Linked DNA regions of Coturnix japonica. The protein of the gene in region 1 interacts with the protein of each later gene in a pairwise test. Links are inferred from orthologs where the notes say so. Each region holds a gene or a part of one and is shown in the gene's direction. Other genes may lie near its edges.

Region 1 (3,647 bases):
TTTTCAGGCTGTTACTCAGTGGCTTGCTCAAGGAAGGAAGCAAACTGGCTAAACACCTAATGGGAGTATCTGTCTCCTGGCATTCAGACGTGGTTTACTCCCCGCTTCTGCCTTCTTTCCCCAGTAACGTTTTACAAGTGAGTCACCTTTCTGGGTGGACACGCTGGCTTCTCAGAAAGGGCAGTTTGCTTTTGCTTGGTGCATTCAGCAGTTCTGACCCCTTTGTTTTGGTCTTTACCTTGTGATCTTCCTATGCATAGGTATGAGTACCGCGTAGAAATGGTTCACCAGTCCACCAACGATCCCACTAAAAACATCATTAGGGAGTTTGCCTCTGATTTTGAAGTTGGAGAGTGCTGGGGTTACAACAGATTCTTTCGTCTAGACTTGTTAGCCAACGAAGGCTACTTAAACAGACAAAATGACACTGTGATCCTAAGGTAAGAAAGATGTTGTGTGTGGGGGGGTTCTGCTATTATTTCATAAGAATCATAGTTCCATCCCTTCTGCTGTGGGCTGAGCTGCCCTTGCAGGATGTCTGTGAGATGACATTTCAGGTCATCCAATGTTCTTACACAGGGCTGGTCAGACTGTCAGAAAAATGAAACTTCTCAAATATTGCTTTGAAGGTTCCAGGTGCGCTCACCAACCTTTTTCCAGAAGTGTCGGGACCAACACTGGTATATTGCTCAGCTGGAAGCTGCTCAGACAAGTTATATCCAAGAAATCAATAACCTCAAAGAAGTAAGTTGGATGTGTATCAATACAAAAACACCTTGTATTGCCTAATAATTCACTGGTTTAGGTTATGAAGCTTGTATTTGGCATTTTTTGACTTGGATAGATACACATGCTGTGTTTTGATGACATTTGTATAAACCAGAAGGACTTGATTCAATGGTGCTGCTCCATTGTTATCTTCTGTGTGTGTTTCTGTCTGTCTCCCTAATTAAGAGGCTCACAATTGAACTTTCCCGGACTCAGAAGTCACGAGGTATTTCACCTCCAGACACTCACCTCAGTCCCCAGAATGACGATGGACCAGAAACGAGATCAAAGAAGTCTGGACCAAGCACTGTGGCACTGCTTGAGAATGTTACTGCTCCGGGGTCAGCGCGAGATAACAAGGAAGAGGATGAAGAGAAGATCCAGCATGAAGACCTCAGTGTAGGAGCAGTCTTTATTTTACCTTCTTTTATGTAGCCTTTTATAATAGATGAGCAGTAGGAACTTTTGTGAAGTTCTGAATTGTAAATGAGACTTAATCTCTTTGTGGAAATAGGAGACAGTGTGTTTGACAGTTAGCAAGAGGTATCTTACGTGATGTTGTGGAACAGAGCTACTTGATCCCACTGTAAGGAGGTTTCCCAATTGCAGCTAAAAAATGTAGCTCTGACTGTGCTTTCAGACTCTCCCAACTTCTACGTTCCAGTGTGACACCTCTGTGGGGAGAAGGTTTGGGTTTGTAGCTTTTGGCAGAAGCAGTGAGGTCCGAGTTAAGTGTTTCTCTTTGTTCTGTAGCACGAACTCTCTGATGGTGATCTGGATGTAGATCTTGCTGGAGAAGATGAGGTGAACCATCTTGATGGCAGTAGCTCTTCAGCTAGTTCCACAGCCACTAGCAACACTGAAGAGAATGACATCGATGAAGAGACTATGTGAGTAACTTCAAGTCCCAGATAATCACCTTGTGTTTCCCAAGCAGTAAAAATTCATTTGCAATATCACTGTTACAGTGCATTTGGGAGTCAGTGCAACATAAGGGATGTTTCCTGTACTGGAAGTAACATAAGCTGATAGAGTTGATGTTAAACAAAGAATTTTCAGGCACTGGTTCTTTACTTTCTGGTCTCTTCCTTTGCTTTTGTGGTGTTTCTACCTTTGGTAGTCTGTAAAGATTCTCTGACAAAACAGTAAGGAATTTGTTTCTACACTGATCTATGTCACAATGAAATAGAGCTTGGTATTAGAAAGTGATGCAGTAGGAGTGTTAATAAGGACAGGTAGTTACTGAAAAGCAGAGGGCTTAATTTTCTTAGCTGACACACTAATGTCAAATCTGAGAACATTCATTAAAACGTGAGAATGTGTTGTAATGCGTACGGATACAAAAGTTTACAGGATGAGATTTTACAGTCTGGATTTGTGTGAAACTTTTAGGCTCCTTGTTAGGGAGTCTGTTGTTTTATTAATACACTCTGTGTGTAGCTCAGAGTGCAGGAGCTTCATGGTGCTTTGTGCTTTTCTTAGTGGTATGTGCCATCGTGTTTAACAGGAGCAGCCAGAATCCAATAACTATATTCTGCCATTTTCTCCCCAATCTTCTCTTAAGGTCTGGAGAAAACGATGTGGAATACAGTAATAATATGGAGTTGGAAGAAGGAGATCTCATGGAAGATGCAGCAGCTGCTGCTGCCGCTCCTGGGGCGTCAGGTATGAAAAATAGCCTTCAGAATTCCTATGTAGGCAAAGCACTGCTGGACTTCTTCCTCTGTTCTTTTTGGAAGCGACGTCAAACTGTGTGTTCTGCAGGCATTGCTATTTTTGGAAGTGCTGCATCATGCAGTTTGTTCTGATTATTGCAGCGTAGCAGAAACATCTCAGTGGTTTGGTTCAAATAAAGATAAAAGGGGCAGGGGGAAATCCAGAGATGTTTAAAAGGATGTGAAGTTAGGAGGGGGACTTTGGTGCCTCTCAGAAAACCCTTCAATTTCAAGAAAATGAAATTGGAAAGCATTTCCTTTTTACTCGTATCTGTGTGGCCTCTGAACGTGTGATGCATCACTCCAGGTTTTTGTGCACTATGAAATCTCAGCTACGTGGAAGGGAGTGAATAATCTTAAGAGTCAAGAAGAAAGAGATTGAAATTGTTAAAATAGGTGTTCTAAGATCTCGAGCCTTCTGGAGATTATTATCACACAAACTGTGAGCCATAGGCTAATAAGACTGAAATGTTGAATATGTGTGTATTTATATATGGTGGAGATAGCCATAGAGATGACCTGATCAGAACAAATGTTCACCAGAAACGCTGCAGATAAATCTAATGGGAAGGGTGAAAAAAGTAGGAAGTTTATGTGCGTGCCTTGAGAATAAATGCTCTTTGATTTGTTAATTGATCTATTCAATCTATTTATTAAGAGATTTACATGGAAGATATGAGCCAAACACTTTTTTTTTTCCCCTCCCTTCCTTTCCTGTGGTGGCACTTTGCTTAAAGACTATTGAAGTACATCTGACTGCTTTCAGAACATAAATCCATGAAATAATACTGATATTTGTTACACTTCTTAGAATGCTTTTATGCCTCATCTACATGAACTTTCCAACTCTTGTCATTTAAATGCATGCTATTTCCTCATAACTCTTCCTTAGGTACCAGCCATGGCTACACCAGTGCAAGTGGAAGACCTTCAAGGCGAGGAGGAAGCGCCCTGGGCTCAGCAGCTAGCAGCAGTTTACTTGATATTGATCCCTTGATTTTAATCCACCTGTTGGATCTGAAAGACAGAAATGGTATGGAGAACCTCTGGGGCCTCCAGCCACGTCCACCTGCCTCTCTTCTACAGAACAGAGGTAACTGTACATCAGATCTCAATTTCATTCCAAACTGGAAGTGTCTCTTGAGAATGCAGTGCCAGAGTTAG
Region 2 (3,747 bases), on another chromosome or scaffold:
CTGCACAGCCACCCTCAGCACAGCTCGTGTGCAGTCGCTGCGATGCATCCAAAGGCTCTGAGCCATTTCTTGTCTTGATTTCCAGGAAAAATTACAGATGCATTCAATTCCTTGGCCAAGAAGAGCAACTTTCGAGCCATAAGCAAGAAACTGAGCTTGGTACGTCCTGTGGGCTCTACTGGGAGGGTTGTGCCTGGTCTGTGCCTGATCCCCAGGGCTCTGCACCCTCAGCTTCCATCCAGCCACAGGAGCTGGGCTGCTGCCGGCTGCCTCAGTGTGCATTGCCAGCCTCAGTGTGCATTGCCAGCTGCAGCTGCTCTGGCCCTGCTGCAAGGGCGGTTTGTGCTGCAAGGGCAGTTTGTGCTGCCGGCCCTGCCTGGGGCTCAGCCTGACACAGAGACACAGAGCCCGACCCCCCTGTGCTTTGCTGTCAGTACCAAGCGGTGCTTCCCCGCAGATCCCACGGGTGGACGGCGAGTACAACCTGAAGGTGCCTCGGGACATGGCGTATGTGTTCAGCGGGGCCTACACGCCCCTGAGCTGCAAGATCATCGAGCAGGTCGGTGCCCCCAGGTGCTCTCAGTGCTGCCCTGTGCCCAGAGCTGCCCTGATCTGTGCTATGCTGTGTTGTGCTGTGCTATACTGTGCTATACCATGCCATGCTATACCGTGCTATGTGGTACTGTGCTATACTGTGCTATACCATGCCATGCTATACCGTGCTATGTGGTACTGTGCTATACTGTGCTATACCATGCCGTGCTATACCGTGCTGTGCGGTGCCGTGCAGGTGCTGGAGCGTCGCGGCTGGCAGGGCCTGGAGGAGGTGCTGCGGCTGCTGAACGGGAGCGAGTTCTCCATGGCCGGTAGGAGCCGTGTTGGGGTGTCGGGGGTCGGTGCCGGGCGGGGCCGTTGTGACGCCGTGTCCCGCAGACGGAGCGATGGAGGATGGCGCTGCACAGCGCGTGGTGCTGGCCGTGTTCATTGGGGGCTGCAGCTACTCCGAGATGGCGGCGCTGCGATTCGTGGGCAGGGAGAGAGGTACGGGATGGGGGGGAGAGGGACGGGACGGGACGGGGGTTCAGCGTTGGGGCCGTGTGTGTTAGTGCTGCCCATGTTGCCGTGCTGTCCCCGCCCTCAGGTTACCGGTTCATCTTCCTGACCACCGGCATCACCAGCAGCTCCCGTGTGATGGAGGCCATGGCCGAGCACAAGGTGTGACAGCGCTGGGGCGGGGCGGGCTGCGCTGCGGGGCCCGGCCCGCTCAATAAACGCCGCCGTCCAGTCCGACCCTGTCTGGTACCGTCCGTCTCGGCCCGGTTTATCCCGGTTCATCCCGGTTCCATCCCGGTTCATCCCGGTCCATCCCGGTTCATCCCGGTTCCGTCCCGAGGCGTCATTCAAAGCCGAGCGGCGCGCGCGTTTCTGTGTCACGTGATCGGCGTCAAAAGTCGCGCGTGCGCAGTGCGGCGGAGCGCCGCTCAGAGCCCAGCGGCCGCACGCAGCCGTTCCGGCTCGCGATTGGGCGGACGCCCCGACGGCGCTTGGCTGCCATTGGCTGACAGCCGGCTGGGGGCGGGACCTGGGGAGCGGTTGTGGGCGGGGCCAGGCGCGAAGCTTCAGCCAATGAGCGGCTGAGGAACCAGAGTTTGAATCGGCGGCTGCGGGCGGCGGAGAGTGGGGACATGAGGAGGAGGTACGGGAACGGGAACGGGAAAGGAAACGGGGAAGGGGATGGGAGACGGGAACGGAAACGGGATACGGAACGGGGAACGGACTGGGATACGGGAACGGGAAATGGGAACTGGAAACGGAACGGGAATACGGACGGGAACGGGGAAGGGAATGGGAACGGGAACGGAACGGGAGACGGGAGTGGAACGGGGACGGGAACGGGAACGGGACGGGAACGGGGAAGGGAACGGTTACGGGGAACGGGAACGGCGTACGGGACCGCGGATGGGAGACGGGAACGGAAACGGGACGGGAACGGGGAACGGGAACGGAACGGGATGGGGACGGGGACGGGAACGGGGGATGGAGTACGGAACGGGAACGGACGGGAAACGGGACGGAACGGGAACGGGAATGGCGACGGGACGGGAACGGAAACGGGAACGGGATGGGAACGGGAACGGGAACGGAAACGGGAATGGAACGGAACGGGAACGGGAATGGGAACGGGAACGGACGGAACGGAGCGGGAATGGGGCAACGGGAATGGGGAGTGGGGATGGGAACGGGAAGAATGGGCTGTGATACGGGGATGGGGCCCGGGGCCGCGGCGGGGAGCGGGGGGAGCAGTGGTGCGGGGTGCGGTGTCCCGGTGTCGTTGTCGGGTGTTGGCGGTGCCCGGTGGCTGTCGCGGCCGCCCTCGGAGCCGCTCCGCCGTTAGCGAGTGCTGGCGGCCGAGGCCGTGACGGCCTGAAACTCGCGCCCTGTCCGCCGCCTGGCGGGACATATGGTGAGCGATCGGCAATCGCCCGAGGGAACTGCGGCTCGAGCGACCGGGGCTGTGAAGAGACACCTGTCAAAGGTTCAGCGGGGCGGGGTCGGGAGCGGGGGATCGGGGGAGGGGGCGGGCGCGGGACGGGGACGGCGCCGTGCTGTGTGTTCCTGCATGCCCTGTGCTGTGCTGTGCCTTCGTGCTGTGTTGTGACATGTGCTCCCATGCTGTGCCGTGTTGTGTGGCTCGTCTGGGTTGTGCTTCATCTCGTGCTGTGTGTTTGTGTTGTGTGTGCTCCATGCGTGCTGTGTTGTAGCTGTGTTGTGTTTGTTTGTGCTCCAATGCTGTGCTGTGTTGTGTTGTGTGTGCTCCATGCTGGTGCTGTGCTGTGTTGTGTTGTGCGCGTGCTGTGGCTGTGTTGTGTTGTTATCGCTCCATGCCGGCTGTGCGTGGCCTTATTGTAAACTGTATTTTGCTCCATGCTGCCGTGTTGTACGCGTGTTTTTGCTCATGCCGTCTGTGCCTCAGAAACCTGCTGGACATTGATGGTGGCGTGAGGAGAGCGCCTGGAGGGAGGCAGATGCGCAGACCGTGGCCGTGTACAGGAAGAGCTGGACGGCCCTTCTGTGCCGTAAGCTGCACGCCGAGCCTTCCAGGTGAAGAGCGCACAACAGGAGCCTGCCACCGGGAGCTAGGTGAGCCCGAAGGCTTCACCCAACGACAACGGCCCGGGGTGGGCGCTGGGAAGGCCGCCAGCAAGAGCCTGTGGATGCAGCCGTGGGTATGCAGCGCTGTGGGATGCTGCGCTGTGGGTGCAGCCACTGGGGATCCAGTGCCGTGATGCAGGCGCTGTGGGATGCTGCGCTGTGGGATGCAGCGCTGTGGGATGCAGCGCTGTGGGATGCAGCGCTGTGGGATGCAGCGCTGTGGGATGCAGCGCTGTGGGGTGCTGCGCTGTGGGATGCAGCGCTGTGGGATGCAGCGCTGTGGGATGCAGCGCTGTGGATGCAGCGCTAGTGGAAATGCAGCGCTGGTGGCTGATGCAAGCGTGCGATGGCATGCAGGGCTGTGGGATGCTTGCGCTGTGGGGATGCTAGCGCTGTGGGATGCAGCGCCTGTGGGAAATGACCGTGCGTGGGATGCAGCGCGCTGTGGGTTGCAGGCGCTGTGTGGATGCAGCTCTGTGGGAGCCAGCGCTTGGGGATGGCAGCGCCGTGGATGCCAGCTGCTGTTGTATGTCAGCGCTGTGGGAGTGCAGGCGCTGTGGGGGATGCGAAGCGGGCGCTGTGGTGCTGTGCTGT
Region 3 (3,747 bases), on another chromosome or scaffold:
CTCTGTTTTCTGTGTCCAGTTGCTGATAGATCCCTGCCAGATCCTTTTTACTAGCTGGTTAAAAAGGAGAACTAAGGGACTACTTGGGAGAGAAGTCCCCTGTCGTAAGTGCAGTAGGTCAGACTGCTGGGGTTTTACTTTCCTCAGAACTGATGAATTTGGAGGCACGGTGCTTGGGGCAGGAGGCAGGCTGCAAAGCTTATTGTGCTCAAGTAGGGCCCTACTTCTGCTTTTTGTCTGAGTGCTGCTGTCGATGGCTGTCATTGGCCTTGGTGCAGGAAGAAATTGAAATCGGCAGGAAAAAAAAATGTCTTGAAGGCTAACGAGCCCAAGACAGTGCCGGGATTTAATGAGGGCTGCTTCTGTGATGCTGAGGTAATTCAGGCACCCTCCTGGAAGTTAATTACCGATGGTCTGCAATGCCTGAACCTTTGCCGTGTTGCTTCATTACAGAAGTTACAATGAATTTATTAAATCCTGCGGTGCGTCATCAGTCCTTGGGTGTCAGCTGGAGTGAAGGGCTCAGCACCTCAGGGCTGGGAGCAATCAAAGAGCTCATTATGGAAAGGAGTTATAATTCTGCTGTGCCCTTGCACTACAAGCCTTGAAACACATCACAGACCATATTCTGAGCCTCACACAATACAGTACTTGTTGGCTGTTTGCACTGGGCATTTATTTATGCTGGGCTTACTGATGTTCTATATTGGTGGTCAGTACGTCCCTCACGTGCTCTTACTCAGGTCAGCAATGCACAGCATGCCGTACCCTGTGCTGTGCTGCATGTTGCTGCTGTGTGTGGATGGTGTTCCGGGGCATTGTGGGAGCGCAGGCTGATTTTTCACATAGGGCTGAGCTGCTGTTCTCCTAATCTCTTACAGCAATCTTTCTTGGCATGCTGGGTAGGTCACAGTGAATAATGTGCTTTTCCGCTTGGCAGCCAGACTGGAAAGCTGGGGGAAGGGGAAGCAGAGGGAAAGTCAGGAGCTGCTCACATTTAGGGCAGCCTGCCTCTTTGTACCCTTCCCTGTAGCAAAGAGTTGATGAATCGCTTCCTTTTTCGGTGTTTCAGTAATACTCTGTGTTGTTCAGAGCTCATTTACAGCGCTGTAATGTTTTGAACACTCGCAGCCTTCGCTCTTCCTGTGATTGTCCAAGGGTTGGATGTTTTTGTCTCTGTCCCAACAGTTACTACTTGTTGGAAGTGCTGCAGCTATCTTTCTTAAGACCTTACATTACTTTGGTCTCATGACTGTATTTCTATTACTGAGTGTGATCTTTAAATAAAAGAAACGTGAAGCTCAGGTCCCTGTACCGTTAAACCCTGGAGATTTTCTTCAGGTGCATATAAAGCTAGGGCTGTATTTAATTAAAGGAGTTGGGGGGGGGGAGGAATAGTTCAAGTCCAGTGTTCTGGATAGCAGACCCCTGACCCTTGCACAGCAACTTGGGGTGGGCTGAGCAGCAAACTGCTGCCCCATGAGGTGCACAGCCCCGAGCCCAGGCTCCTCCTGCAGTGCCTGGGCCTGATTCATATTGGCCCTCATTGTTATCTCTCCTGTTCACATGTTTTTTTTTTTTCCTCTTTGTTAGCCTGCTTTCCTTCCTTGTTTTTAAAGAATAGCTTATCTGTGTGCCCCAGAAGGGTGTGACTTGGGGAGATCACAGCAAGCTGAAGTTCAGCAGCTGACTGCAGGAACACACGCTGAGGTTTTCACACACGGCGAGCACCCGGAGATATATGAGATGTGTGCAATTGGGAGAGCGACTGCACTCCTGCTTCAGCCCCCCAGCACCCTGCTCAAGGACAGTCACTGCACCACAACAGCGCCTCAGCGCATGTGCTGTGTGCACCTGGTGACCAGCTCTGGGTCACATTGCTGGGCCAGAACGTGCATCTGAGCTCTGATATGACGTGAGCAAACCAGAGCTGGTCCCATCACACCGTGGCACGCTTTCCTGCCTCGTGTGCGTGTGTGCAACCCTGTCACCTCATTGGGTTGTTGCAAAGCTTCTGAGTGATCAAGTTCTTTTTCTACCTCAGAGTGCAGTGCCTGTGCTGCTGCCACTCCGAACACTGCAGGAGGAAACTGGTTTTCGGTTTGGTTTTGTTTGTTGAAGAGGAGCTTTATGATGGGTGACAGAGCAGAGCCTCTGATGACTGTGCATCTTCTGGCCAACTCAGGATACTCGGCGTTCCTGCAGCAAGCTCTGGATCGTCTCATGGATTGGATCTGCCCAGATGTTCCACTTTTCTTTGTGTCCGAGCGAGCTGCTCCACTGAAATACTACGAGAGGTATCGCAGGAGGAACTGCGGCTTTCCTGGGATATCTGTCCTCCTTTTTCTGCATGAGGACCTGGGAGAAGAGCGGATCCTCCAGATCCAGGATCTCCTCCAGCGCCCACCCTGGCACCACCAGTGTGTCCCTACCACCTGGGCACGAAGCCCTCCCCACACACCAGCTCTGCAGGACTTTTATGGCTTGGATGACCAGATGCCGGTGTGGGGCATCCGGCGGGTGGGCTGCAGCCCCGAAATCCTGCGTGTGACCCTCTACTTCAGCTTTGATAACTACGACGATGCAGTGGGGCTGTACGAGATGATCCTACGGAAAGAAGCAACCACACGGAAAAGCAATTTCTGTGTCTTCATGCTCTATGCCACTAAAGCTATTGCGGTCCAGCTCTGCCTGAAGCAGCTGCCCATTGGGATGGCTGCTGAGCCCAAGGAGTCGTCGCTTTTGCAGTTCAAGGTGCAAGAAATGGGGCAGCTGGTGCCTCTCCTGCCCAATCCATGCGTTCCTATCAGCAGCACCAGGTGGCAAACACAGGACTACGAAGGAAATAAAATTCTGCTTCAGGTATGTGTGTGCACGGTGCTTGCAGACCAGATGCCTTTTGGGTTTTTCTATTCCAACAAAGAGCAGGACTGATTCAAAATGGAAATGAAGGTTTTGCTTGTCCGTATTTCGTTTTTAATTCATGAACTCAGCAACCAACTTCCAGTGCTACGATGTCATTGATAAATGTGAGCACGGATCCTTAGAATGCTTCCATATTGTTAGCACCCGAAGTAGAAGGTATTAGTTCTTTTTCGAGCCACTGAATTCACCTTTTTCCCTTTCCAGCCTGTTCTCTTTCTGATGCAACCTTATAAATGCTCCAGAAAGCAGAGTTTTAGCCCCGTACCATCCCAAACCAGGTGTTTTGCAAGTACAGCGCTGATGCAACATCACCCATGGTAGTTTTGTAATTGCAGTTGGGCAAAAGGGCTAAATAAATGCCATGGGAAAGCCGCCCCCTTTCTGTTGTGCTATGCAGCCCTGAGAGCATGCGAGCACAAATCAAACCAGGCTAAGATGGTGCTGAGGAGGTGGTGCTCACTGTGATTGTACGTGGGAGCAGGAGGGAAGTTCATCTGTGTGCTCTTTGCTTTGTAACAGCTCCTCACACCTCTGGCTTCCTTGGTTGCTATTTGGATATTTTTATTATTATTTGGATATTTAAATCATTTCAATGTATGTTCGATTTTCTTTATTTTCCTTTCTTGGTGAGGAAGTTCTTCTTTAAGGAAGTTCTCTCCACCTTTTCTCAACAGGTGCAGGACAGCTCCAAGCAGAGGGAAACAAGCTCTGTGCTTCCCAACCGGCGCAGTGCTGTTGCTGTGGATGGACTGCTGCACAGCCCTATTGCAGCCCCTCTCCCCACTCTGTGCAGCGCTGAGCAGGGAGGCCAGCAGGGCTGGG

The links.
Region 2: the proteins of TRIM37 (region 1) and PRC1 interact in binary tests that used the Homo sapiens proteins (3 or more experiments, as listed by UniProt). The link is inferred for Coturnix japonica from reciprocal best matches to the Homo sapiens genes TRIM37 and PRC1.
Region 3: the proteins of TRIM37 (region 1) and FAM124B interact in a two-hybrid assay, tested with the Homo sapiens proteins (2 studies listed by BioGRID and IntAct). The link is inferred for Coturnix japonica from reciprocal best matches to the Homo sapiens genes TRIM37 and FAM124B.

What each region holds. Positions count from the first base shown.
Region 1 is NC_029534.1:5,933,089-5,936,735, reverse strand, and holds part of TRIM37 (E3 ubiquitin-protein ligase TRIM37), read left to right. Parts: intron 1-260; coding exon 261-440; intron 441-629; coding exon 630-744; intron 745-954; coding exon 955-1,167; intron 1,168-1,521; coding exon 1,522-1,658; intron 1,659-2,332; coding exon 2,333-2,433; intron 2,434-3,375; coding exon 3,376-3,576; intron 3,577-3,647. UniProt on the Homo sapiens protein: E3 ubiquitin-protein ligase required to prevent centriole reduplication. Probably acts by ubiquitinating positive regulators of centriole reduplication.
Region 2 is NC_029525.1:18,211,030-18,214,776, forward strand, and holds the start of PRC1 (protein regulator of cytokinesis 1), read left to right. Parts: upstream 1-1,562; 5' UTR 1,563-1,685; coding exon 1,686-1,696; intron 1,697-3,747. Other genes in the region: VPS33B (vacuolar protein sorting-associated protein 33B), read left to right, coding at 86-159, 458-559, 791-866, 934-1,041, 1,142-1,221. UniProt on the Homo sapiens protein: Key regulator of cytokinesis that cross-links antiparrallel microtubules at an average distance of 35 nM. Essential for controlling the spatiotemporal formation of the midzone and successful cytokinesis.
Region 3 is NC_029524.1:6,955,813-6,959,559, reverse strand, and holds the start of FAM124B (protein FAM124B), read left to right. Parts: upstream 1-1,437; 5' UTR 1,438-2,130; coding exon 2,131-2,862; intron 2,863-3,599; coding exon 3,600-3,747.